Linked DNA regions of Bombyx mori. The protein of the gene in region 1 purifies or fractionates together with the protein of each later gene. This does not show direct contact. Links are inferred from orthologs where the notes say so. Each region holds a gene or a part of one and is shown on either strand. Other genes may lie near its edges.

What was found.
Region 2: the proteins of brefeldin A-inhibited guanine nucleotide-exchange protein 3 (region 1) and mitochondrial prohibitin complex protein 2 purify together in Homo sapiens (affinity purification with western blotting; 4 studies listed by BioGRID). This does not show direct contact. The link is inferred for Bombyx mori from reciprocal best matches to the Homo sapiens genes ARFGEF3 and PHB2.

The regions. Positions count from the first base shown.
Region 1 is NC_085109.1:10,557,588-10,569,822, reverse strand, and holds the start of brefeldin A-inhibited guanine nucleotide-exchange protein 3, read right to left. Parts: upstream 7,754-12,235; 5' UTR 7,698-7,753; coding exon 7,613-7,697; intron 5,491-7,612; coding exon 5,357-5,490; intron 4,646-5,356; coding exon 4,526-4,645; intron 4,133-4,525; coding exon 3,955-4,132; intron 3,132-3,954; coding exon 3,002-3,131; intron 2,431-3,001; coding exon 2,251-2,430; intron 2,001-2,250; coding exon 1,902-2,000; intron 1,138-1,901; coding exon 910-1,137; intron 1-909. UniProt on the Homo sapiens protein: Participates in the regulation of systemic glucose homeostasis, where it negatively regulates insulin granule biogenesis in pancreatic islet beta cells. Also regulates glucagon granule production in pancreatic alpha cells.
Region 2 is NC_085124.1:11,786,797-11,798,984, forward strand, and holds the start of mitochondrial prohibitin complex protein 2, read right to left. Parts: upstream 5,519-12,188; 5' UTR 5,418-5,518; coding exon 4,518-5,417; 3' UTR 4,291-4,517; intron 3,585-4,290; exon of another isoform or gene 3,478-3,584; coding exon of another isoform or gene 3,145-3,477; exon of another isoform or gene 3,065-3,144; intron 1-3,064. Other genes in the region: uncharacterized protein LOC101746149, read left to right, coding at 3,145-3,477; E3 ubiquitin-protein transferase RMND5B, read left to right, coding at 6,626-6,761, 8,315-8,407, 8,751-8,911, 9,427-9,633, 10,246-10,772, 11,094-11,160.

The DNA.
Region 1 (12,235 bases):
ATTTTTTAGTTGGATTTTCTAAAAATGCATATTTTATTAGTTTTTTTAAACTATTATTTATTTAAAATAAATTATTCCTTAGACGCGAAATACACAAAACCGCCTTAGACTTAAGGCGCGGTGCAGGGGTGGAACGGATCGGGGCGGACGCGATTTAAAGTATACTAGTGGTCCCGCAGTAGTCGAAATTCGACTATAATTAATGGAAATTATAAGTTTTTTTTTATTGCTTAGATGAGTGGTCGAGCTCACAGCCCACCTGGTGTTAAGTGGTTACTGGAGCTCATAGACATCTACAACGCAAATGCGCCAAATTTTAATTTTTGCGGGTTTGATTTTTATTACACGATGTTATTCCTTGATCGTGGAAGTCAATCGTGAACATTTGTTGAGTACGTATTTCATTAGAAAAATTGGTACCCGCCTGAGATTCGAACACCGGTGCATCGCTCAACACGAGTGCACCGGACGTCTTATCCCTTAGGCCACGAGGACTTAGAACTAAGTTTGAACATTATGATGGTTCTATTGTCAAAGACTATTTATTATACTTCTATAATCACAGATTTCGACACTATAGACAAATAACATTAAAAATAAACAATATTAACCTATTCCTTCTCAATTTGACCACAGACTTAAAACAATAACAAAAGTTTGACAATAAACACAGAGTATATACATATATGTGTGTGTGCGTCAAATCATGGTAGTGTGTGTAATGTTTTATTTATTGATCTAATGTATTATAAAAGCATAATTAAAAAAAAATAGCATTCTGCACTTCTTCTCTATATTCTCTATAAGTGTGGGAAATTTCATAATCCTCCGTCCGCGCAATTTTCGTAAAAAGGGTACAAAGTTTTTGCTTCACGTATTAATATATAGATCTTTAGTGCTTTTGCTCACAGTCTGATTATGGCCATGTCGTCGCTGTGCCGCTCTTGGTTCTCCTGCTTTTTTAGCAGGACGAGTTGGCAGATCCTTCTCGGGTTCTGCAGCAGTTCTCGGGTGCTCCGCAGTGCTTCGACGCGATGCGGCACCGGGGGGTAGAGTAGCATTCTGTGGTACAGTGCTTCGAGGACCGGTCGGAGATTCGAGGTTGAACCTACCAGCCGCACCAGCTGATTTGCTATGCTGCAAACAACGAAATGATCCAAGGGTTAATACCGTTGTAACTATACTTGTAGGCAGCGGCTTGGCTCTGCCCCTGGCATTGCTGAAGTCCATGGGCGACGGTACCCACTCACCATCAGGTGGGCCGTATGCTCGTCTGCCTACAAGGGCAATAAAAAAAAAAACTTACCTTACCTTAGAACTTATATCTCAAGGTGGGTGGCGCATTTACGTTGTGGATGTCTATGGGCTCCAGTAACCACTTAACATCAGGTGGGTTGTGAGCTCGTCCACCCATTTAAGCAATAAAAAAATCCTTCGTCAATGTTTGTTTGAGCTCTACTTAGACTTTCGTCTTAAGTATTCTTATTCTATTCTTTTTTTTTTATTGCTCAGATGAGTGGACCAGCTCATAGCCCTGCGTTCCGCGGTTACTGGAGCCCATAGACATCTACAAAGTAAATGCGCCACCCATCTTGAGATATAAGTTCTAAGGTCTCAGTATAGTTACAACGGCTGCCCTGCCTTTCAAACAGAAACGCATTACTGCTTCACGGCAGAAATAGGCAAGGTGGTGGTACCTACCCGCGCGGACTCACAAGAGGTCCTACCACCAGTAAAAATTCTTAAGTATTTAGTATTAATACTAGATCAGAGTTTACGTTTATTATTAAACTAACAAGCGTTTGAATCTCCCGCATTTATATGCTGTATCAAAATTTGGAATTTATTTTGGGGCTATTCGTTTTGTGAATGTATATTTTGGAATTTTAGCAATCACATACCTGTAAATAGCTTTAGCCTGTTTACTGTTGAAGCTTGGTGCGGAGTTCAAAGCTCCGGATCCTCTTCCAGAATCGTCAACTAAATGTCCTTCGTGATCTCTGGGAATTAAGTCAATAAAATTATTTGAATATGATCTTCACTGCTTTGCAAAAATCCATCCATTAAATACATCTCGCTGCATAATGTTGTTATTATTACTCTGAATTGTTCGCATAAGTAAATAAAATAATATAAGAATATTTTCTTTCATTTTCTAAAAAATTTTTGAATGTTTCTTTTCCTTGCTTATTACGCCCTAACAGTGAAATATGATGAGATTTAAAACGTCCAGTGGTTCTCAAAGATTACCTGGATTTGATATTCTTGTCGACCCGGGGCGTTCCGAGGAAAGATATAAGCGACGGACAAAACTTCTGCCACAGGAATGTTGTGAAGTGCAAGTTACCGCTAACACGTTCCGATAGGCTGGACATCAACGTTAAGAGGCAATCCAAAAAGAATAGGGCCAGCGGGTTTTGCTTTGGATTCCTGTATCGGAAATACGGTAGCATTATTAAGATTATTTTATTGCTAAGATGGGTGGACGAGCTCACGGCCTAACTGGAGTTGAGTGGTCACCGGAGCTCATGTACATCAATTATGTCAATGCCACCTTAAGACGTGAGTTCTAAGTCTCAGCTTTCACAGTACAACGGCTGCCCCACCCTTCAAACCGAAACGCATTACCGCTTCAAGGCAGAAATAGCCAGGGTGCGAAATACCTACCCGTGCGGACTCACATGACGCCCTCTTACCAAAAAAAGTCCTTTTAATGTTTTAGCGTTTCTCAGATTCATCGTTTTTTTACTTTTAAACTGCTAGAGGTTCGTAGATCGTTCTAGTCTAATAAGGATGTAGCATAAGATACCTTTAACCTTTAACTCACACTAATGCGCGACATTAACCATAAAGGCGTTAATTGATGATAAAAAATTGAAAATTTCCTCCATCCTTTGGAATGACTGAAGTTTTACAAAAAATATAACTAAAATTATTAATTATTATTAAAGAAAAACTACTAAATATGAGGTCAGTTTTTGTTTATTTCTAAGCAACTCACGACTGTGTCTCGGCCAATCTGCTGCACAAGTATTGTATGACTGGTATTACTTCACTGTAACAGCCTACTGCCACTATGTGGTTCCTGCCAAGTGGAGAACCTTCCGACAGCAGCTCGGTACACTCCTCGTCTGCAGCGAATTTTTGTATTATTAGTAGGCGCTAGAACATTTTGTGTAGCGCACACTAATTAAGGCTTTCAGTCAAAACTCAATAAAGTAAATACAACTCAGTTAAAAAGTTAATTGGAATTAAGGTTAGTCTTAAGGGTTTAGAGATCAGTGAATCCGGATCTTTATAGTATAAATAAATGATTTTAAGGAATCTTGACCACCAATCGGTCGCAAAGATATCGATGATGTAATATAACTTTCAAATATTACTTTTCAGAACCAATGGATTTGAAATACTCAATTTAAAAGTTGAAATCATGGTTCTCCGACCTTATGTCTTTATTGTGGGTAAGTAATATTTTTTTGATGCATTGACAGTGGATAAAGCTCACGTCCCAGCTGTTGTTAAGTGGTTACCGGAGTCCATAGACATCACAACGTTATCTTGAGACATAAGGTTTCTATCTTAATTGTATAGTATAAAAAGTGCCCCACTGAAATATCCCCTGTAGTGCTCACGAGACGTCCGGTCCTCTTACTGTAACGGATAATTGATTTTACAGAATAAAACCTTAAGCACCGGTCATCGTTCTCGTCGAACCCGTCGCTTGCGACGAAGGGCTCGTCGAGTAAATTAACCAACAGACACACACTGAGTTTCTCGCCGGATTTTCTCAGTGGGTCGCGTTTCCGATCCGGTGGGGTAGATTCTGCGAAGCACGGCTCTTGCTAGGGTTCGTGTTAGCAACGTCGTCAGGTTTGAGCCCCGTGAGCTACTAGTTAAGGTTACGGCTGAAATAGCCTCTCATCTTAGCTCAGGCAGGAAAAAAAAGAGGCATACCTAATTGTGCACAATAAGCTCTCAATGCTTGGGCGGCTGCAGCCCTCGCGGCAGCGGCCACATGAGGAGCCGCACCCGCTGCCTCTCCACACCGACCGCAGGCCCACACACAGAGACGACCGTTCAATGTTCGGCGAGGAGACAACGCCAGTGATAGATACATGCGGAATATTTGTACCTGACAAATATTCAATTGATAGAAGTGGAAAGATGATAATTCTTTCTAGATTCTAGATCTATATAAATCTCTATAAATCTAAATCTAAATCTAGATAAATATGAATATGCTGAGCATTAAATAAAAATAACAATTTTGTTGTGTCCCCCGGCGGACGGTTTCCTTTTGTTTATTTTAAGTTCATTTTATAAAAAGTTTAGGTCTTTTGCTTATCGATTGAGGCACTACGAAGTCTGCCGGGTCAGCTAGTATATATATAAAGATTGAGTCTGTGACTTATTCGATTATGCCAAAGACGTATAATTCCTTACTTGCGGATATTACACGCCACGTAGACCATTAATTAGTGTACAATGTATATTCAATGTATAAAAGCACAAAGAGTTTTATTACCTGTGTTTCTGGTTGTTGAAACATGACTGAAGCAGTGGCACATAATAACTGTGAGGGCATCCACAGCGAATCGTCTTCTGGTTCGATTCCACGGTGGAAACGGTCATCTCTTAAGATTTTCTGAAAGAAGCATGCTATTGGTTAGCTCATTAACTCTTGTTGATTTATTTAACTTTATGCATAATATTAAAATGGCGGTATAATTTCTTAAGCTCGACTAGTCTTATTCTTGCTTTATTGAAAAAAAATCCACAAATATAACATACAACGTCGCACATATTTTTATTATAATATCGTTAAATAATAATACACTGTTTACTAATATATACATCGTATCTATCAATTACTGTGGTTTGTGTTTGTTTATTTAGTCTTAGGTAATTTGCAAAAGGCTCTCTACATTGTCATTCTTTATTACCTACATCGATGGGAGAAAATAATGAGACAATTGGCGCTAAAAATATTATTATGTAAGATAAACACATAAAGCTTGTATCCACTGTAAAGGGCTGTTGAAATCCCAATTTTAATTAATTAAAGGGAGTTTGCCAATTTATTAATCGGCTCTATTACTTCATTGTTAAATTCAATCGGGGACACGAAAAATTGGTACCTGCCCCAGGAAATATTAAAATATATGTCTTCTATCATACGGAACGATTTTAACAAGGATTTGAAGTACTACCAAACTACCACCATCTTTTAATCCCTTTTCGTATTAAAAGTAGGTCATCATGGTAATATAAGCCATTATAATAAATAGATATCACGTAACGTTATGGGCAAAAATATTATTATATTATAGATTATTATTAACTTATTGCAACGTACATAAAATCCCTGTACTGCGAATGTAACTAGCCTTGGCCTCTTTGTTTCCAAAGCGATCTGCAATGGGAGGAGACAGGCGCGTCGCAGCTCGTACGAAGGACGGCGCGCGTTACTCTCTTGGAGGCATAGCAGTTCTATAAGAATTAAAATCGGTTGTCTGTAAAGTCGGTTTACTGAGGATAGTTGAACGTGACAACGTCATAAGAAAATACTGATGGAATGGTTTCATTTTTCAAAAGAAAATTTTAATTTTATTTGTTTGATAGATATTTTGTATGGATATAGAGAAGGAGGTAAATGGTAATCACTATTGAATTGATCAAGTTACATTTATTTGTACGCATAAATACAATTATGTCAATTTTTTTTACTATGTACATAGTTTTTTTACAAGAATGAATGTGCTTTGAATTGTATTATTGTAAAGCAGCTGTCCACGCGGATGCGTCGCTCACTCAAGTAGGAGAGAGACAGATGTCGAACGCTGCCGAACGCGGAGGCAATGGCGGATCCAGGGGGGGGGGGTGTCATGGGGGTCATGGGGGTCATGACCACCCCCTGAGCCGGTTCCAGGACTTAGGTGGACCACTAATTGAATATAATGATTTTATTTATATATTTTGTAAAAATACAGATTTTATATAACTACATACCTTCAATATTTAATTAATTTAATGTAATAACTTTGTATAATGGCAAACGTCTGGGAACGAACGCATCTAAATTTGACTATGTGACCCCCTCCTGGCGCCAAAGCCGGATCCGCCCTTGCGCGGAGGCCGATTGTGCCTCTTTGACGCTCGTTGCGCGCTCTCGCTTGCACTTCAAACCTTAAATGGAACGCCTCAGGGCGAGGTAACGTCGCATGAGTCATTTTTTCGTGCGTGCAGCCGGCTTCGTCGAATTATAAGACGTTGTCACGTCAAAAAATGGTTACATATCATACAACGAACGTATTAAGTAAAAACATTTATATTTTCTAATTATACAAATTCCTTGAAATAAGACGGACAATCGAAGTGTTTTTTTTGTCTTGAAATTTTGTTGCGAGTCATAAGGATTTTGGAGTCAAAATAAACGCATGTGACGAGACTTTAACGAAATAAAAGAAAGACTACTACTAAGGGCATTTCTGTTATTTTTAATTAGACGTTACAATTACACTCAATTAAATGAAAAAGATAAACGAGTTTCGTGAATTCAGTTATGTGACGTTTGTTGGTACAGTTTGCACTACAATTAATTTTTTAAGATGAATTTGTAAACATTTAAGTAGTGAATTCAGATCTGAGAGGTGCACGCTTCTAAATAAAAAAAAGAAGACATGTTGATTTACTCCTTCAAACTAAATATTTTGCAACTGTAAAAAGCCACTGATCGATTATTCTCAATCTTTATGAGAACAGCCAGCGACATGATGTTTAACGCTAGCTACTGTAAGCGACTTTAATCACTTATCATATCGAAAATAATTTATTTTGAGAGTATTATGTATCATTACGTGGTTAAGATATGACCGAAAACCTTTCCGTATTCTTTAACTTCCAGTTTTATCTTATTAAATAAGATAAGAATATACCAAAGTAATTAAAATTTTACGGTCATTTTTAAATTTAAGATTATTTTTAATTTTACCAGCGTAAAAAAGATTTCAGTCTATAGACTGGATACTAAAATACAGTAGTAGTATGTGCATGATTTAATTTAAACTTTAGACATTTACACGATACTGTATATGAGAAATGTGAAAGTTGGTATGATTGGATGATAGGTTCGGATGAGACGTAAAAATATATTAGCCTGGATTAGCAATTAAATAATTTTTATGGTCGTAAATAAGATGAAGTGAGTAATGCTGGGTAAATCTGCTGTAATAAATACAACACTGCGTTAGTTTGTTCGTGATTATACGTACCAAAAGAGCTACAAATCGACTGGTAATTTTTAGACTACACAGTAGCAAGAGCAACTATATAATCCGGTAAATTTCTGTATTACAAACTCAACGGAAGTGAAATGGTAAACGAATGAACCAAATAAGGAATCTTATTGATCCAATCTAGGTTTATTGTTTAGTTGCTCACAGAAGAAATTACAAGACCCTATTATAATTTTGTAGGAAAACAAGAGAAGATCATAAACAGTTTTGACTGTCTGTTTCATCAGAAATGTTTATTCGCAAATTAATTTTGACTTCCACAGCAGTATATTCTGTTTTAGACGTTTAACTACTTAGAAGTCCATCAAATTACGTACCTAATGCATCTTGGGCTGATTTTTTCAAGGACGAGAGCTTAGGACCAGTGGATTCTTTGAATATATCTTGCAACAGTTCCTCCATGATTTCTAATAAGCCCGAAACGAACTTTAAGTTTACCACATTTCAAGGAGTTAACTAGGAATATCGATTTGATGAGCAAAACACACTGTATATTCACAGTAATGATTTCGAGTAAACTAGTGAATCGTGTGGGTGTCGTTTGCAAGCTTATCAAACACTGGTGTGTATGGGAGGTCGGTCGGAGCATGCTCAGTATAAAAATCAATATGTAATATTGGAACTGGCGTTTTTTTTTTGTAAGCGCAACAGGTCAGATTTTTTATGACAATTAAAAATAACAATACAGCATCAACGACATTTAAAAGTATTAATTGACGCCATTATCCTCATCATTTTTCACGAAGATAAAAATAATTTATTTCGTAAACGTATTTCAGGTATTGAATATTTAATATTGCTCAGAGCAGTGGACGAGCTCAAAGAATCCCGGAAGTTCTGGAATATATTATTAATTGAAACTTTCGACCCCTTGAGTCTTCCGTTGTAGTTTTGGCTCTACTCCGCTTCAGTGGGAAATAAATATTTTGAGTCAATCAATCCTCAATGAGTCTGGTGCGAAATTCAAATCATTTTTGTTCATAGATTTAATAGCTTTCCTGTGCTAGCGATTCGATTATGATGGAGGAGACGAAATGAAAACTGGTGTGCAGTACCATTGTCATTCACAATTTGGATGTGTAAATATATGGTGCTATTTAGTAAATTTTATAGAAATACAAAAAATCTATTGAACGTTTTAACATTTATTTTCACAACGTTTCAATACTATACATATATGAATATTAATATTTTAGCGTTCATAATCGTAATATCGTAATCGTTCGTAATAGCAGCATTTTTGCTGTATGTATATAGTAAAAATTATGTAATATGGTACCTATGTCTTTTGGGGGCAACTAGCAAAAGAAGAAGAAAGAAATAGGTTTGTATGAAAAACGCCATATGAGGTTTCTCTTTTCCTTCATTTTATTTTACTCTTTGCAGGAATATCTTTCTCATCTTTCTGCTAAAATAATCTCAGAGCTTTGCTCCTCGCGTTCCCGCTAAAAAGTCATAAATAATATTATAAAGTAACTAAATAACTATATAGTAGTTCCGCTTTTTCAATCGGAAAGACGAAGGAGAAAAATAATATGAAATGAAATTGATTAATCTAAAATATTAATCACTTGAAATTGAAGTCGTCGAGGCTTAAAGGATAAGATGTCCGGTGCATATGTAGCGATGCATCGGTGTAGGAATCCCGCCAGCACCAATTTTTCTTAGAAATACATACTTACCTAACAAATGTTCACGATTGATTTCCATAGTGAATGAATAACATCGCTTAATAAAAATGAAACCCGCAAAATTATAATTTGCGTAGTTACTGGTGGTAGGACGTCTTGTGAGTCGGCACGGGTAGGTACCACCGCCCTCCCTATTTCTGCCGTGAAGCAGTTATGCGTTTCGGTTTGAAAGGCGAGGTAGCCGTTGTACTGTTAAAAGTGAGACCATTTAGCTCATGTTTCAAGGTGGGTGGCGGCATTTAGGTACGTTGTAGATGTCTAAGGGCTCCGGTAACCACTTAACATCAGGTGGGCCAAGAGCTATTCCACCTATCTAAGCAATAAAAAAATAAAAAAAATGAAATGAAATGAAATTACCGAAACAATTCATACAACTTCGCTCTTCCCGTTGCCGCCAAAAATCCCACAGATTCGTCGAGCTGGCTGCATAGAGGTCGACTCCACAGAACACTATTACTTCTAGCGAAGGTCGACTCTCTCAAAAAAAGTAAGCAAAGGGATTTGCGCCTTAACTGCTGTCCAGTGTTACCAACTGATTCGGCAATAACAACGTACCACGGAATGAAGCGAAACATTCATATTACAATACTCATAACAGCCACCAGTCACAATAATTCCAATGTCATTGAAAATAGTTATAATATTTGTGGTTTATCAACGAAAAATACATATGGCAAAAGCCAAAAAAAAGGTTGCATTTAAAATGAAAATTCCGGTAGGCCTTTATTCAATTAGGCGATTTCAAATAATCATTATTTTACTAACTATTGGAAATGCAGTTTGCCTATTGCGAAAACAAGAATTTGAAAGTTTACAAAATATGTGTAATATATACAACAACAAAATTAAATTAAAATATTTTAATTAGTATTTAATATGTTTATATCTAGAAAAAAAAAGCTCTGTTTTTCCAAACACTTATTAAATAGGTATCTGTTCAGTACAGTTGCTGTGTGGAGTACACGCGGTTTTGTTATTAACCTAGTTGCTGATTGTAAAAAACCTTTTCACATAAGGTACTTTAAGTTTATAACACCTTAAGTTTTAGTGTAAAACTACCATGGGAATTTATTAAAAAAATGTACCTATCTCCTATTTAAAGAACAAAAATTACATTAGGTGGAATTTTTTTAGTTTTAATTTTTTTTTATTTCTAGCATTTATCGAACTTAAACAATTCGTTAAAGTGTGTAATTCTAAATGTTTGATGTTAGCAATGATGTTGTGCAATACAGTTGTGTGAGCGTTCCTATACCATTATATTTTATTCCATACCTCCCATAGACCTATAGAGTATTTATATTTATACAGTGATACCTACTTTCTAAATTTATATATTTTATATTACATAATATATGTTATTAACATATTATATTAATATATGTACACTGCGACAATCAGTATCATATTATATTTTGTGATTCCTTTCCCAAAAATAACAAACATCATTTCACGGTGCATTGTGAATTTTAGCAGCTTAATAGTAGGGGTTAAAGTACGAAATTGCCGTTTTATTTTAATAGCTACTTCGAATTGACATAGAACCTTCATGGTTTGAGATTTTTAAGTGAAACTTTTTTCGAACGGTACCTATGAGGTTCTTCTTTTAAAAAATGTGCAACATTCGATTACCGATTTTCAGTTGTTTTTTTTTATTCAGTTTAGACAAGAAAGATGGTTAATACTTCGAAAATTCGAGTGATTTTTGAATACGAGTTTCGACGCGGAACTAAAGCTGCAGAAACAGCTAGCAATATCAATGTTGCGTTTGGAGAGGGGACTGCTAATGAAAGCACCGTGTGATTTTGGTTTAAACGCTTTCGTGATAGAAATTTTAATTTGAAGAACGAACCACGTGGAAAGCCGCCCACACATGTGAATAACAATGAATTGAAAGTGATGGTGGAAGCCGATCCGAGTCAGACTACCCAGGAATTAGCGGCAAACTTAACAGGTTGAACATGATCTTTGAATTTTTGTTTTCGATAGACTCTATAGCTATGGCATAGACCCATTGCTACTGTTAAATTGGAAAAATTATTCTGGCAACATTTTTCGACAACTGTCAAAAAGGCCAAAATAAAAATGGTGTCTTGGAGTGCTCTCGGTCGATCTTTCGGCATAAATTTGGTAAAAAATTCTTTAAAGTCGCCTAATAAAATACAGAATGTGACTTTCACCACCGCGAAAACCTTAAAAGGCAGTCATGGAGAAAGAACAATGGCACTGCAGCCATCCAGGTACTGTGATGTTTCTAGTGATTATCTAATCGCTTTTGATTTTAATAGAATAATAATTTATATTTTTTATACAAAACATAACAAAAAAAAAATAGTTTATCATTAAAAAGCCATTTTTCTGTCAGAATAATGCATTTTATTGAATTATATTGTTAACATGTAACCTAATTTTAATTTCCTGATCACAGATGGCAATGGCACAAATTTAAGGATATGCTGCACTTTTACATGATGGTTGGACTTATACCGGCCGGTGCCCTTATATTCTACTGTAACGTATTCATTGGGCCGGCGCAATTGACACCTATCCCTGAAGGATATACGCCCAAATACTGGGAGTACCACCGCCATCCAATCACCAGATTTATTGCTCGCTATATTCACAACAATCCACAACAGGTTTGTCAAACTTTTGATTTGAGTTTTTAAAATAAGATTCTCATTAAAACAGGAATGTTTGTAAGTAGATAAATAGAGATATCTGAATATGTTACTAATATTTTAAACAAACCTAAAATCAGTAGTATTAACTAATAAAAATATTATTTTTACTATTTTTCAAAGATATTTGTGTTAAAAAGGTTCTTGTAGAAATTAAACTAAATGGTTATTGCTTATAAATTTAATTAGGAATACTAGAGTACTATTATTAAACTAACTATTGAATTATTTCTTGCTATTCATCATTATGTGTGGATTCTTTTTCTCAAAGATTTTCCATCTTTAGTATGTTTCTTAGTTTCACAAAACAAGAGATAGCAGTTTCTGGAAATGCTGAATAGAAATAGATAGAGTCAGAGATTGAAGCCCAATTTGCTATTTACGTTGGTATCTTATGGTATGGTATGGTCGTGGCCTAAAGGATAAGACGTCCGGTGCATTCGTATCGAGCAATGCACCGGTGTTCTAATCCCGCAGACGGGTACCAATTTTTCTAATGAAATACGTACTTAACAAATGTTCACGATTGACTTCCACGGTGAAGGAATAACATAGTGTAATAAAAATC
Region 2 (12,188 bases), on another chromosome or scaffold:
AAAAGAGAAGCTTCAAAACACATATGCGTATCTTGATGATATAACTATTTCTGGCCGTACTCTTGAAGAACACGATCATAACTTAGAAAGTTTTATGAATGCCGCAAAGAAATACGGTTTAACACTGAGTATACAAAAATGCAAATTTTCTCAAAAGTCAATTAATATTCTAGGCTATAATATTCAAAACCATATAATTAAACCTGACAATGAGCGACTCAAGCCACTGATTAATTTACCTCCACCAAGCGATTTACCGACCTTAAGAAGGACACTCGGCATGTTCGCACATTATTCTAAGTGGATTCCAAAATTTTCTGAACGGATCCACTCACTTGCTAATACGACGATTTTTCCACTCACAAGCGAGCAAATTAAATGTTTCGAAGGCTTGAAAAATGATATCGCAAAGTCTTCTATACATGCAATTGATGAAAATATACCTTTTACAGTGGAAACTGACGCTTCCGATCATTCCATTGCAGCAGTACTTACGCAAAATTCTAGACCAGTGGCGTTTTTCTCAAGAACGTTAAATTCAAGCGAACAAAACCATTCCGCCATTGAAAAAGAAGCGTACGCCATTGTGGAATCATTGAAGAAATGGAGACATTTCCTTATTGGTAGACACTTTAAGTTGGTAACTGACCAACGCTCGGTTTCTTTTATGTTTAATATGAAACATTCAAGTAAGATAAAGAATGAAAAGATTCAAAGATGGCGACTGGAACTTGCTGCTTTCAAATACGATATTATATACAGACCGGGGAAAGAGAACTATGCTGCTGATGCACTATCCCGAGTTTGTGCCACTGTAGAAACACGTACTGCAAAACTTTTCTCGCTGCATGAGGCTCTTTGTCATCCAGGGGTAACAAGAATGTTTCACTGGGTTCGCTCTAAAAACCTTCCCTATTCTATTGAAGAAGTCAGAACAATGACAAAATCTTGCCGAACCTGCTCTGAAATAAAACCTAGATTCTTCCGAAATACCTTTGATGACCAGAGGAAACTTGTTAAAGCGACGGCTGCTTTTGAACGCCTTAGCATAGATTTTAAAGGACCAGTTCCAACAAATAATAATAACAAATTCATACTTACCGTGATTGACGAATTTTCACGTTTCCCGTTTGCATTCCCATGCTCAGATGTAAGCTCGAAAACAGTGATTAAACATCTTAACAACTTGTTTATGATATTTGGCATGCCTTCTTACGTTCATTCAGATCGCGGAACAGTATTTCTTTCTGCTGAAGTACAGGAATTTTTACATGTTCGAGGTATTGCCACTAGTAGAACTACAGCTTATAACCCTCAAGGTAATGGTCAAGTAGAAAAATTGAATTCTACTCTTTGGAGAACGATTCTTTTGGCGCTGAAGACGAAGAATCTTTCGGTAGAAAATTGGGAACAAGTATTACCACAAGCCTTACATTCAATTCGATCATTACTTTGTACAACCATAAATTGCACTCCACACGAAAGAATGTTTAGACACCCTCGAAGATCTACAAACGGCACTTCTGTTCCATCGTGGCTTACAAATTCTGGACAAGTCTTGATGAAGAAATTTAATCGTACAAATAAATATCAGCCATTAGTAGAAGAGGTTGAATTGATACACAGCAATCCTGACTTTTCATACATTCGGCTTCCAGATGGCCGAGAAACAACAGTGTCGAATCGTCATCTAGCACCATTGGGTTCAGAAAGGGTAGATCTGCGAATAGATAATGAAAACACTATTGATTATCATAACGTCGCAGAACCACTTCCGGAAACAGAAGACCAAAACTTGGAGATTCCTTCATCTAATGAAACGGGACCTGTGGTACTTGATAATAGCAGAGAGATAGAGACAGAATTACCATCATCACCACCGCCGGAGCCAACACTTCGTAGATCTGGTCGCGTCCATAAAACGCCAGGATTTTTAAAAGATTATGTTCTAAAATAGTGTGGGAGAATGATGTAAACTTCTTAGTTGAAATTATCAGCCATAAGTTGACGTCATTGTCAATCTGTTTTATTCGTTATTTGTCAATGTACCTAATGTAATCAAAGCAAATTTTACTATTAATTTTAGCTTATTAAAACCTTATATTCAGTAAAGGTTTTCTCTTATTACACATAGAATGATTATAAACAGTCCAATAAATGATAAGACTCAATGTAGACAGTTATTTTATAATGCAGCGGAGCAGCCGTTTTATAATAGATACTTAAACTGATCATAGGTAAATTGTAGTGCTGCATTTATTTATCTCTTGATTTCATGTCGATAGATTTTTTGACCTCTTTTTTAAAGAACATTTGAATTCTGATATTCTCATGTCACATCCTCGTTTGTTGAGGTCTTTCTTATTTATTTTCGGTATCCATAAGATAAAAAATCTACCTTGAGACTGTTGAATGTGCAACGTAAGGCATTATTCATTATGAGTTTTTACCACCAGGTAGGACCATCGATCCTGAACTCTACTGCAAACAACTGATGAGATTAAAGCAAGAAGTTGAGAGAAAGCGGCCGGAATTAATCAACAGAATGGGTGTGGATTTTCATCATGATAACGCTAGACCTCACACATCTTTAGCCACTCAGCAAAAATTGAGAGAACTTGGCTGGGAGGTGTTAATGCATTCGCCGTATAGTTCTGACCTTGCACCTTCAGATTTTCACCTGTTTCGGTCTCTTCAGAATTCTTTAAATGGTAACTACATACTTTAGTTAAATGTAAATAAACTATATGAAAAAATGTTGTGAATTTTCTCAAAAAATGCGAAGAAACTTTCCCCAACCTATTATGTACTTTAATACTTTAGTTATTATTTCGTTATCTTTTTAATATTTTTTTTTGTGGCTTTTAATTTCCATTTAGCTATGCCTTTCAATCACCAAATTAGTGGAATCGAATGGTGAACATATTTTTCGTGAGTTGAAGTGCATATTAAAGTGATTTTAAAGCCTAATGCCGATTAGAGCAGTCCATCCTCTGGACTGGACCCACAAACATTTCAGTCTAAATCAAAGTCCTCTATAGTCAGAGAGTTTTGACAGTTGACATTTGGGACAGTACTTTATTGAAATTTACTTCGAAGTCCATGGTGATTAATCTATGATTCAAAATTGGAGAAGTAAAAGCTATGATTCGATTGTGTAATAAAATGAATAGATTTGGGGTGCTGAAGAGCAATACGCTCCGCATTGCAACTCGGTTTTACAGTGAAGGCTCCACACAAAACGAAAGTCCTAGTTTTTCTTCGCCTCCAACAAATTCGACGATTCCTGAAGTCAATGGATTGAGTAGCGCCGTCATTCATCCAGCTTCACAACCTGTGGGCCCCGGTGTGGATCCAAAAAAAACCGGAGCGTACAAAGTTCCAGAATATTTCTGTTATGATAATGTGAGCTTCTTCGAAGCTGAAATTGAGATGGCGAAGTACCGATTGCCACAACCTTCGGCCCTCAAAAAGTAAATTTTAATTTGCTTGATATTAGATGTAATGTAGTAATTTAATAAATACAGTTGTACTAAGTTATTTGTCTTTTTTTTTTTAACAAAATAAAGTATATAATAAATTACTGAGCTACTGTGTTTTACTAAATTATTGTAATACTAAAGCCTAAATTACTGTGTTAAATCAAGGAACATGGCCTCCTCAAGATGTCTTGGTACATAATCTAATCAGCCAATCTGTAAATATCAAATCAGGAGTTTTTTTATTGCTTAGATGTGTGGACGAGCTCACAGCCCACCTGATGTTAAGTGGTTACTGGAGCCCATAGACATCTACAACGTAAATGCGCCACACACCTTGAGATATAGTTCTAAGCTCTCAGTATAGTCGCAATGGCTGCCGTGAAGCAGTAATGCGTTTCGGTTTGAAACGCATTACTGCTTCACGGCAGCGGAAATAGGCGGGGCGGTGGTACCTACCCGTGCGGACTCACAAGAGGTCCTACCACCAGTAAATTGATTAAAGATTCTAATTGGCATTGTAAATCTATATATTTTATGAATCCTTTTAAGTTCAAATTATAGCGTAGTTCCTGTTTGGATCTAAACTTAACAGTAATAAACAAATTACTGAATTACTCAACTGTAATTTCAATTACTCAGTTTGAGAATCAAGTTATCAATTAATTTGACTGTTTGACTGAAAACAATAAGCCAGACAATATTGTATTTTGTACAATGATATGTTTTAATTATAAAATCTTATGTAAACAAAGTCAAACAATTGAAAATATTTTTATTCAAGTTATAGTTATCAATAAAGAATAATCACTTGAGTTTTGAAATCTTTATTGACATTTTTTGTTTCCCATACATACTATTAATCCTACAAAACTAAATAACTTAAAATGCAAAGATTAAATTGTTTGAATTGTGATTTGCTGAACAACCCAAATACTAAACAGCAACTGAAGCAGCACCACTGATTATGACTGTAATTTCGTCTTTTAGAGTGGCGGCTGGCTTCAGATTCTCAGCGCACACACTCTCAGCCTCATGTTACTTCTTTTTAGTGAGTTTCTCAGACAAATCATCAAAAGTAGGATCTTGAAGATTGATCATCAGACTGTTTCCAGGGAGGAAGACACGGTTCTGAGATTGAGCAATCATTCTCGAAATACTTTGAGCAGCACGAATTTTCCTAAGTTTTAAATAACCAGGGTTCATGCCCATGGCTTTACCCAACATCTCAGCAGCTTCAGCTTCTCCCTCTGCTTGCACAATTTTCTGTTGACGCTCTTGCTTTGCCCTTTCAACTACAAAAGCTGCACGCTGAGCCTCCTGTTGTGCAACTTGTTTAGCTTCTACTGCAGCTGTGTATTCCTTACCAAAGCTTAGTTCAGTGAGGGATACATCATCAAGGATAATATTAAAATCAGCAGCACGCTCAACCAACTCTCTTCTGATTAGTAGAGACACCTGCTGACGCTGTGTGATCAGCTGGGAGGCATTGAATTTGGCAACAACCGATTTTAGGACTTCATTGCATATAGATGGCAAAACCTTTTCATCATAATCTGTTCCAAGTTGTCTGTACATTGTTGCTAGCATATTGGCATCTGGTCGAGAAAGTACTCGGAGGGAAATGTTTACCATCTGTAAATCTTTTGAACCAGTCGGGGAAGATATCTTGCGAGGTCGGGATCTGATATCATAAATGATGGGGTATTGAAACCACGGTATACGGAAGTGCATACCTTCAGTGAATACGTGCTGTTGTACTCCTCCTATTCTGTTGAACATAATGGCACGATGACCTCCTTCCACGGTAAACACCGATTGGGAGACGCCATAAGCCGCAGCGCCGACAACGGCTACCACTTTGAGACCGATGCCAAGACCAGGTGGCCCACCTTTAGCGAATTTTCCTGCCATGTCATTTATCTTACTTTGTGCCATGACAAGAATATGTTTAACGTATAATAGGGTATTTTAATAGTAATTTATTTATGAAATACTTTTACGTTCTAACCTATCCGGCAACTAATTCCAAATTGTGCAATGACCATAGACACGCTTATTTCGAGATATGACCATAAACAATTTTTCTTTCCATTAATTCCATTAATTAAAAATTGTTTAATGTTGGGATAAGAACACCTCTGTTGATTTTATTTTAAAGAAGTCAAGCACATAATATAACATGTTGATTTTTGTATAATTTGCTTTTACGTTATGATTGATATGGAAAACGTTGACTAATTTTTTTAATTTTTATTGCTTAGATGCGTGGACGAGCTCACAGCCCACCCGATGTTAAGTGGTTACTGGAGCCCATAGACATCTACAACGTAAATGCGCCACACACCTTGAGATGTAAGTTCTAAGGTATAGTTACAACGGCTGCCCCACCCTTCAAACCGAAACGCATTACTGCTTCACGGCAGAAATAGGCGGGGCAGTGGTACCTACCCGTGCGGACTCACAAGAGGTCCTACCACTAGTAATTACGCAAATTATAATTTTGCAGGTTTGATTTTTATTACACGATGTTATTCCTTCACCGTGGAAGTCAATCGTGAACATTTGTTAAGTACGTATTTCATTAGAAAAATTGGTATCCGCCTGCAGGATTCTAACACCGGTGCATCGCTAGATACGAATGCACCGGACGTATTATCCTTTAGGCCACGACGACTTCAAAATTAATAACAACGGTCTATTCATTAACTGTTTTACACATTTGCGGAAAATGAGACAAAGCTGCTGCACTAGATATAATCTCTCTGGTTTTTCTATAAAATCCACTTCAAAATTTCGTTTCATTTAATTTCATCCCACTTGATCACAGGCTAAAATTAATCAAATTCATCTCATTTCGCTTCATGTCATTTTTCATAAAATAATATTAGAAAAATAGGTCTTGGACTTGTTACCAGATCATTAAATTAAAAAAAAAACGGAAATGACAAACGTTCACTTTGTCACTTGAGAGTTGAGAGAAAATGTTTTTAGTCTGCTATCATTAAATTTGTATATTAATGCAAATTTTTAGAGTATACATACCTTTTCAAAATATTTGGTAAAGTCATACGTAGTTCTTTGTTCTAATACAATAAGGCGTCGTTTTTTGAAAAACACTGTAGGGACTGGAATCTTGAAAAACAATGGATTCCTGTATTGGGGTTGAGCAGGATTTAGACAAAGCAATTACAAAATTTACAAATTTAAATGAACATACCGATGAAGTATTGCAAGATATTATTAACAAAGTAGAGGAGCTGCGGCGGGAAATAGCCCAACGTAAGTTATTACACATTACATGTTTACTACATTTTGGTTTAGTCATTCCCAACACAGACAATGCAAAAATGAAAAACAAACTAGCCACATAAACATGTTCATCAAAGAAAGGAAATAATGAAAAGACACATATAAAGAAAATTACAAATTGTTCTTCCAATTAAAAAAAAGATGGTATGGTGATTTTTGCTGGTTAGTGTGTAAAGTAGTCTTTGCTGGTCAGAAGGAATTGCCCTTTTTAAAGCTATTTTAATATAATAGCACTTTTTATTGAAGTTATAATTCTTTAGGCGCGCTATGAAAAATTGATGAGAGTGAAATTTTACATTGAGCTCGTACAGTGATACAAAATTAACAGAATGAAGTTGCCCACTAAATCGTTCATTACAATACGACCGACGTAACTTGGCGAGTCTGAATATAGCCGCAGGTGAACTTTCCGAACCATACCGAGAATTACTGAATTTATACGATGTCAAGAAAAGGGATGTCCAATATGCCTGTTTGAGGATGTTGCTTAATCGATTTTTTTTCAAATTGATTAAAATTTAAATTAAAAAAAAGAAATAAATTTAATAAAAATAAAGTATAACTTCTTACGCGTGTACATAAGTCCACGCACCCTTTTTATTATTTAGTATAATTAGCCCAAGTAAATCCAGCATGCACATGAGAGATTATTTCCAAAGATATCATACTAAGGTAAATTACAAAATTTAAAACTTATCTTTTATTTACAAGAAGGAAGTGTATGTTATAAATTAAATAAAATCAAAAACATTTACTACTAGCAAGTGAAATTCATTTTGCTACAAAAATGTGCCCGAGTTGCTGGGAGGCAGTGGTACGAAAACATGAAGAGCACTGAGGGTTAATATAACATTTTCTTAAAAGTGTCAACCTCATTTGTCATATCAAGAGTATGATGTTTGGTAGGTTTGCAATATTATGCGACAAATCATTGTGTTAAATTGTTAGTTGCTAAGATCTTCAAACAGCTATTCAAATATATGAAACTCTACAGGAGGCCGACTTAAAAATGGGTTATTGAAATTCTCATATAAATAATATATCAACCCCTCTTTATAGCTAACATTAATTAATGATAATGCTCATATCTTTAACATGGTTTAATGTCCCATTAATGCATTTATTGATATGCATTTTTATTAAAATAAGTTACAACAAACAGTTACATTATTTGATAAATACTTATAAAAAAATGGAAAATTTCTTCTTGTTCATTCAGTAATTGTATTGTTTATTCAGTTCATATTATTAGTCCTCTTACAATCTAAAAGTTGGAGTTCCAATTGGATTCAAAAGTTTTGTGAAATATCCTCATGGGATATATTCGAGGATTAGTTTATCAGTACGACAGGAAGTATAAGACAATGGTTTGACAATGTGCTTAGTCTGCAAACCTCTCCCTTGGTACTAAAAATGTTTAATGAGTTTCATAGTTTCATTGGTTGGTGAAACCTAATTTTCTTAATGTAAAATGAGGGCTCATCCCCCTCATAGAGATAATAAAGTATATTATTTCTTTTCAGAACCACCAAATACACCATTAACACCTGAACAAGCCCAGGTCGTGAGCGAATTAGCCTCTACCATCAAACAGAATGCATTTCAATTGTCAACAGGTAAAAAAAAACTCATATAAAGTATACTATTGAAAGTTCAACCTCCGGTCTAATGATGGGATGCGGGGGTCAGCATTGGTATTCATGCTATGATGGCTACCGAGTATATGCCAGAATATGAATATTACTACACTCCTTGAGACACCTACATTTGTGGTGGAAATGTGCAGGACTGTGGTATCAATCTGTGCATCATATTATAGCTCATATTAAGTCCTACAATCAGTAGTTAAGTGAAGTGCAATGAATATAGAAGAGTAGAGTTTGGTATAATTATTACAATGTAATGCATATTATATTATATATAGAAGTATATAATGAATAAGCTAATTTACGTTTTTAGATCACAGAGAACTCCATGCTACAGTGTCAAGAGTGGGCAAGTCTATAGATAGGCATTTCGTGGCCGATTATGCAGCAGTTGCTCCAAAGGCGGAAATGTTCTGTTCTGATGAAAATCGACCTATTATGGAACAAGCCATTGCACAACATTTGTACAGACAGGTAGCTAAGATATTAAACTATAGTTGAGTGAAATCAGTTGTTCTTTTGCCAAACTATGGCATATTTATAAGTGCGCAGAGTATGTGAAACGACCAAGGTAGGACTGGTGACTGGTTAACATCACGCGGATGCCCCAAGAATCTTAGATTAATGAGGTCAACGTTTGGTGAAAATGAATCGAAGTCGGCCGCCACTGTTAGCGCCTGTGAGACTGCCCAGGTGTCTTCTGGTGTTCCGGGATACCGATGAACTAGAATTAGTCTGTAGAGTAAAAACAGGATATACTTCTAATCGATGACGTGGTTCTTCTATTTAATTCTAACCGGCGCAGTGGGGCTCTCGTTCGGTGGTAAGCGTGCCATGTGGGGCATCATCGCCGTTGAACTCGATCATTTGTACACACTCTTTGACTTGCTGTGTCGAAATACATTATATATTAAACAGTATCAAACATTTATATGGAAATTCATAGATATTCTTGATGGGAAAAGAGTTTGTGTCTTTTTTATACACAGGGCCTAGAGGACGTCGGTGATACGTTTGTAGCCGAAGCCGAAATCAGTGGCGTTGAGCGAACCTGTACGTTTGCGTCGGTACAGCGTTGTGCGACTGCATTGGCCGAGGGCGACCCCACTCCTGCCCTGCAGTGGGCTGAGCAGCACATGCAGGAACTACAGCATTCACCGCTGCCGTTCACTTTGCACAGGATGTACGCTTTGAAGGTGACCATAATCAAACTAATAAATTTATCATTAAAAAACTTTTATGGCACCTGAATTTTCAAATATTGTGCTTTTCGTGGTCACCAACAAATACAAAATTAATTTTAATAATGTCTGTGACTGGCAAAATTCCATGAACCATATTTTTTTTTAGATTGTTGTACGAGCTCACAGCCCACCTGGTGTTAAGTGGTTACTGGAGCCCATAGACATCCACAACGTAAATGCGCCACCCACCTTGAGATATGTTCTAAGATCTCAGTATACTTACAACAGCTGCCCTACCCTTCAAACCGAAATGCACTACTGCTTCACGGCAGAAATAGGCAGGATAGGTGGTACCTACACACGCGGACTCACAAGAGGTCCTACCACCAGTGATTACGCAAGTTATAATTGTGCGGGCTTGATTTTTATTACACGACGTTATTCCTTTACCGTGGAAATCAATCGTGAACATTTGTTGAGTACGTATTTCATTAGAAAAATTGGTACCCACCTGAGATTCGAACACCGGTGCATCGCTCAACACGAATGCACCGGATGTCTTATCCGTTAGGCCACGACGACTTCAAAATAGTTTATAGAATGAGGTATGTGTGTGTATGACAGCTGGCGCGCGAGGTGGGCGTGGGTGCGGCCATAGAGTACGCGCGCAGCACGTTCCCGCGACACGCGGCGCGGCACGAGCGCGCGCTGCAGGCGGCCGTGTGCGCGCTGGCGTGGTGCGCGCGCCCGCCCGCCGCCGCGCCGCCCGCGCCGCCGCCCGCCTACCGCCGCCTGCTGCAGCCGCGCGCGCTGGGGGCCGAGGCGGCCGAGCTGTTCGTGGCGGAGGCGTGCGCCGCGCTGCGCCTGGCCCCGCTGTCGGCGCTGGCGGGCGCGGCGCGGGCGGGCGCGCGCGTGCTCCCCGCGCTGCACGACATCCGCTCCAAGATGTCGCACCCGCACGTCATCGCGGCCTGGGCGGAGGACGAGCTGCCCTTCGAGGTGGACCTCGGTGACGAAGGCGGCGGCTACCACTCGGTGTTCGCTTGCCCGATCCTCCGCCAGCAGGCTTCCGACCAGAACCCGCCGATGCGCCTCCTCTGCGGTCACGTCATATCGCGAGACGCTCTCAACAAACTCGCTACGGCAGCCAAGTATGTCTTTTTTGCACAAATAAAATGATATATTATGATAAAATTAAATGTTATAACAAAACCATACAAACGGAAAAGGCTATACGTACAGGATGTCAAGGGACCCCTGACAGTATAGCACCGTACCGTATACAGAATACCATACCATTTCTCTTACGTCTATCATTATTGGTACTGAATCCCCATTTGATCATTTCTTTATGTAAAAGGACATCATCATCAAAATTTACAATCATTGATACTTGATGGTAATTGTCTAAAGTCAAGTTTCATTTCACTCCTGATGTATAACATATTAATTCGTCCCCCTTTATCTTTCAGATTGAAGTGTCCATACTGTCCCATGGAACAATCACCCGCAGAAGCGAGGCAGATATTTTTCTCGTAGTTGGACAATTTTACGGTTGATAAATTTAAACCGTCTCAGTTCTACAAAATGTTCACGTGAAAAATAAACGACCTGTGTTTTTTTTTTTTGATAGAGTAGAGAATGTCGTAATGCCCGCTCGTCTAGATAAATTGTAATTTTACAATAATATTAAAAATATTGGTGTAAAAAATATATATTTGATGTGTAATCTTGAGGCTTTGACCGCACGCCTCAAGGTGGGTGTCGACGTTCATGTTGTCCACGGGCTCCCTCGTGACCGCGCAACGGTAGACCACATCTACCGTTGCGCGGTCTACAATTGAAACTTAGACGTTAGTACTAGACATGTAATATGATATACCTCTTATTGAGATTTTGTTTATAATAAAATCTCATGCGCCAACTGAATCCTGAGCTTTATGTAATTGCGAAAGTGTCTTTGGAAATAAGTTCTAAATAATAAAACAGGTGTATGGTTACAGCAGCTCAGGTCACACTGTAAAAAAAATGATGGATTGCAGTAGCGTTTTTGCAAATAAATTTTTATTCTCGAAATTAGGCAGCAAATCATTGTGACTATTGTACAAAAGGAATAAAAAGTAAAAAGCTTAAAGACTAAAACGTCTCAGAAACCATCAATTGTAATGGCGTTTATTTATGTTTACATCGTTTGTGACCAATGGGCATTGATAAAAAAAAAGTCAGTGTATGTAGTTGTTTTGTAATGATTGGTAGAAAAGGTCGTCGCTTTTCAAGGTGCTGACATCATCAGTCGCCATTGCCTCAAAAATCTTAGCCTGGGAAATGGTACTCATACTTCTATCAATGTCTCCTGTTCATTTAATAAATCATCTATTATTTTTTTATCGCAATAAGTGACAAGATTGGTGTGCTTGGTGAGAGTTTTTTAACGTTCTCGATAGCGTAAAAGTTAACTTAAATTTGTATGCAGTTTGAACAGCGGCAAACGTTTCGACTTATGGAGTCAAGTTTTACGTTATCGAAAACGTTAAAAAACTCGCACCAAGCACACAGTAGGTACAATA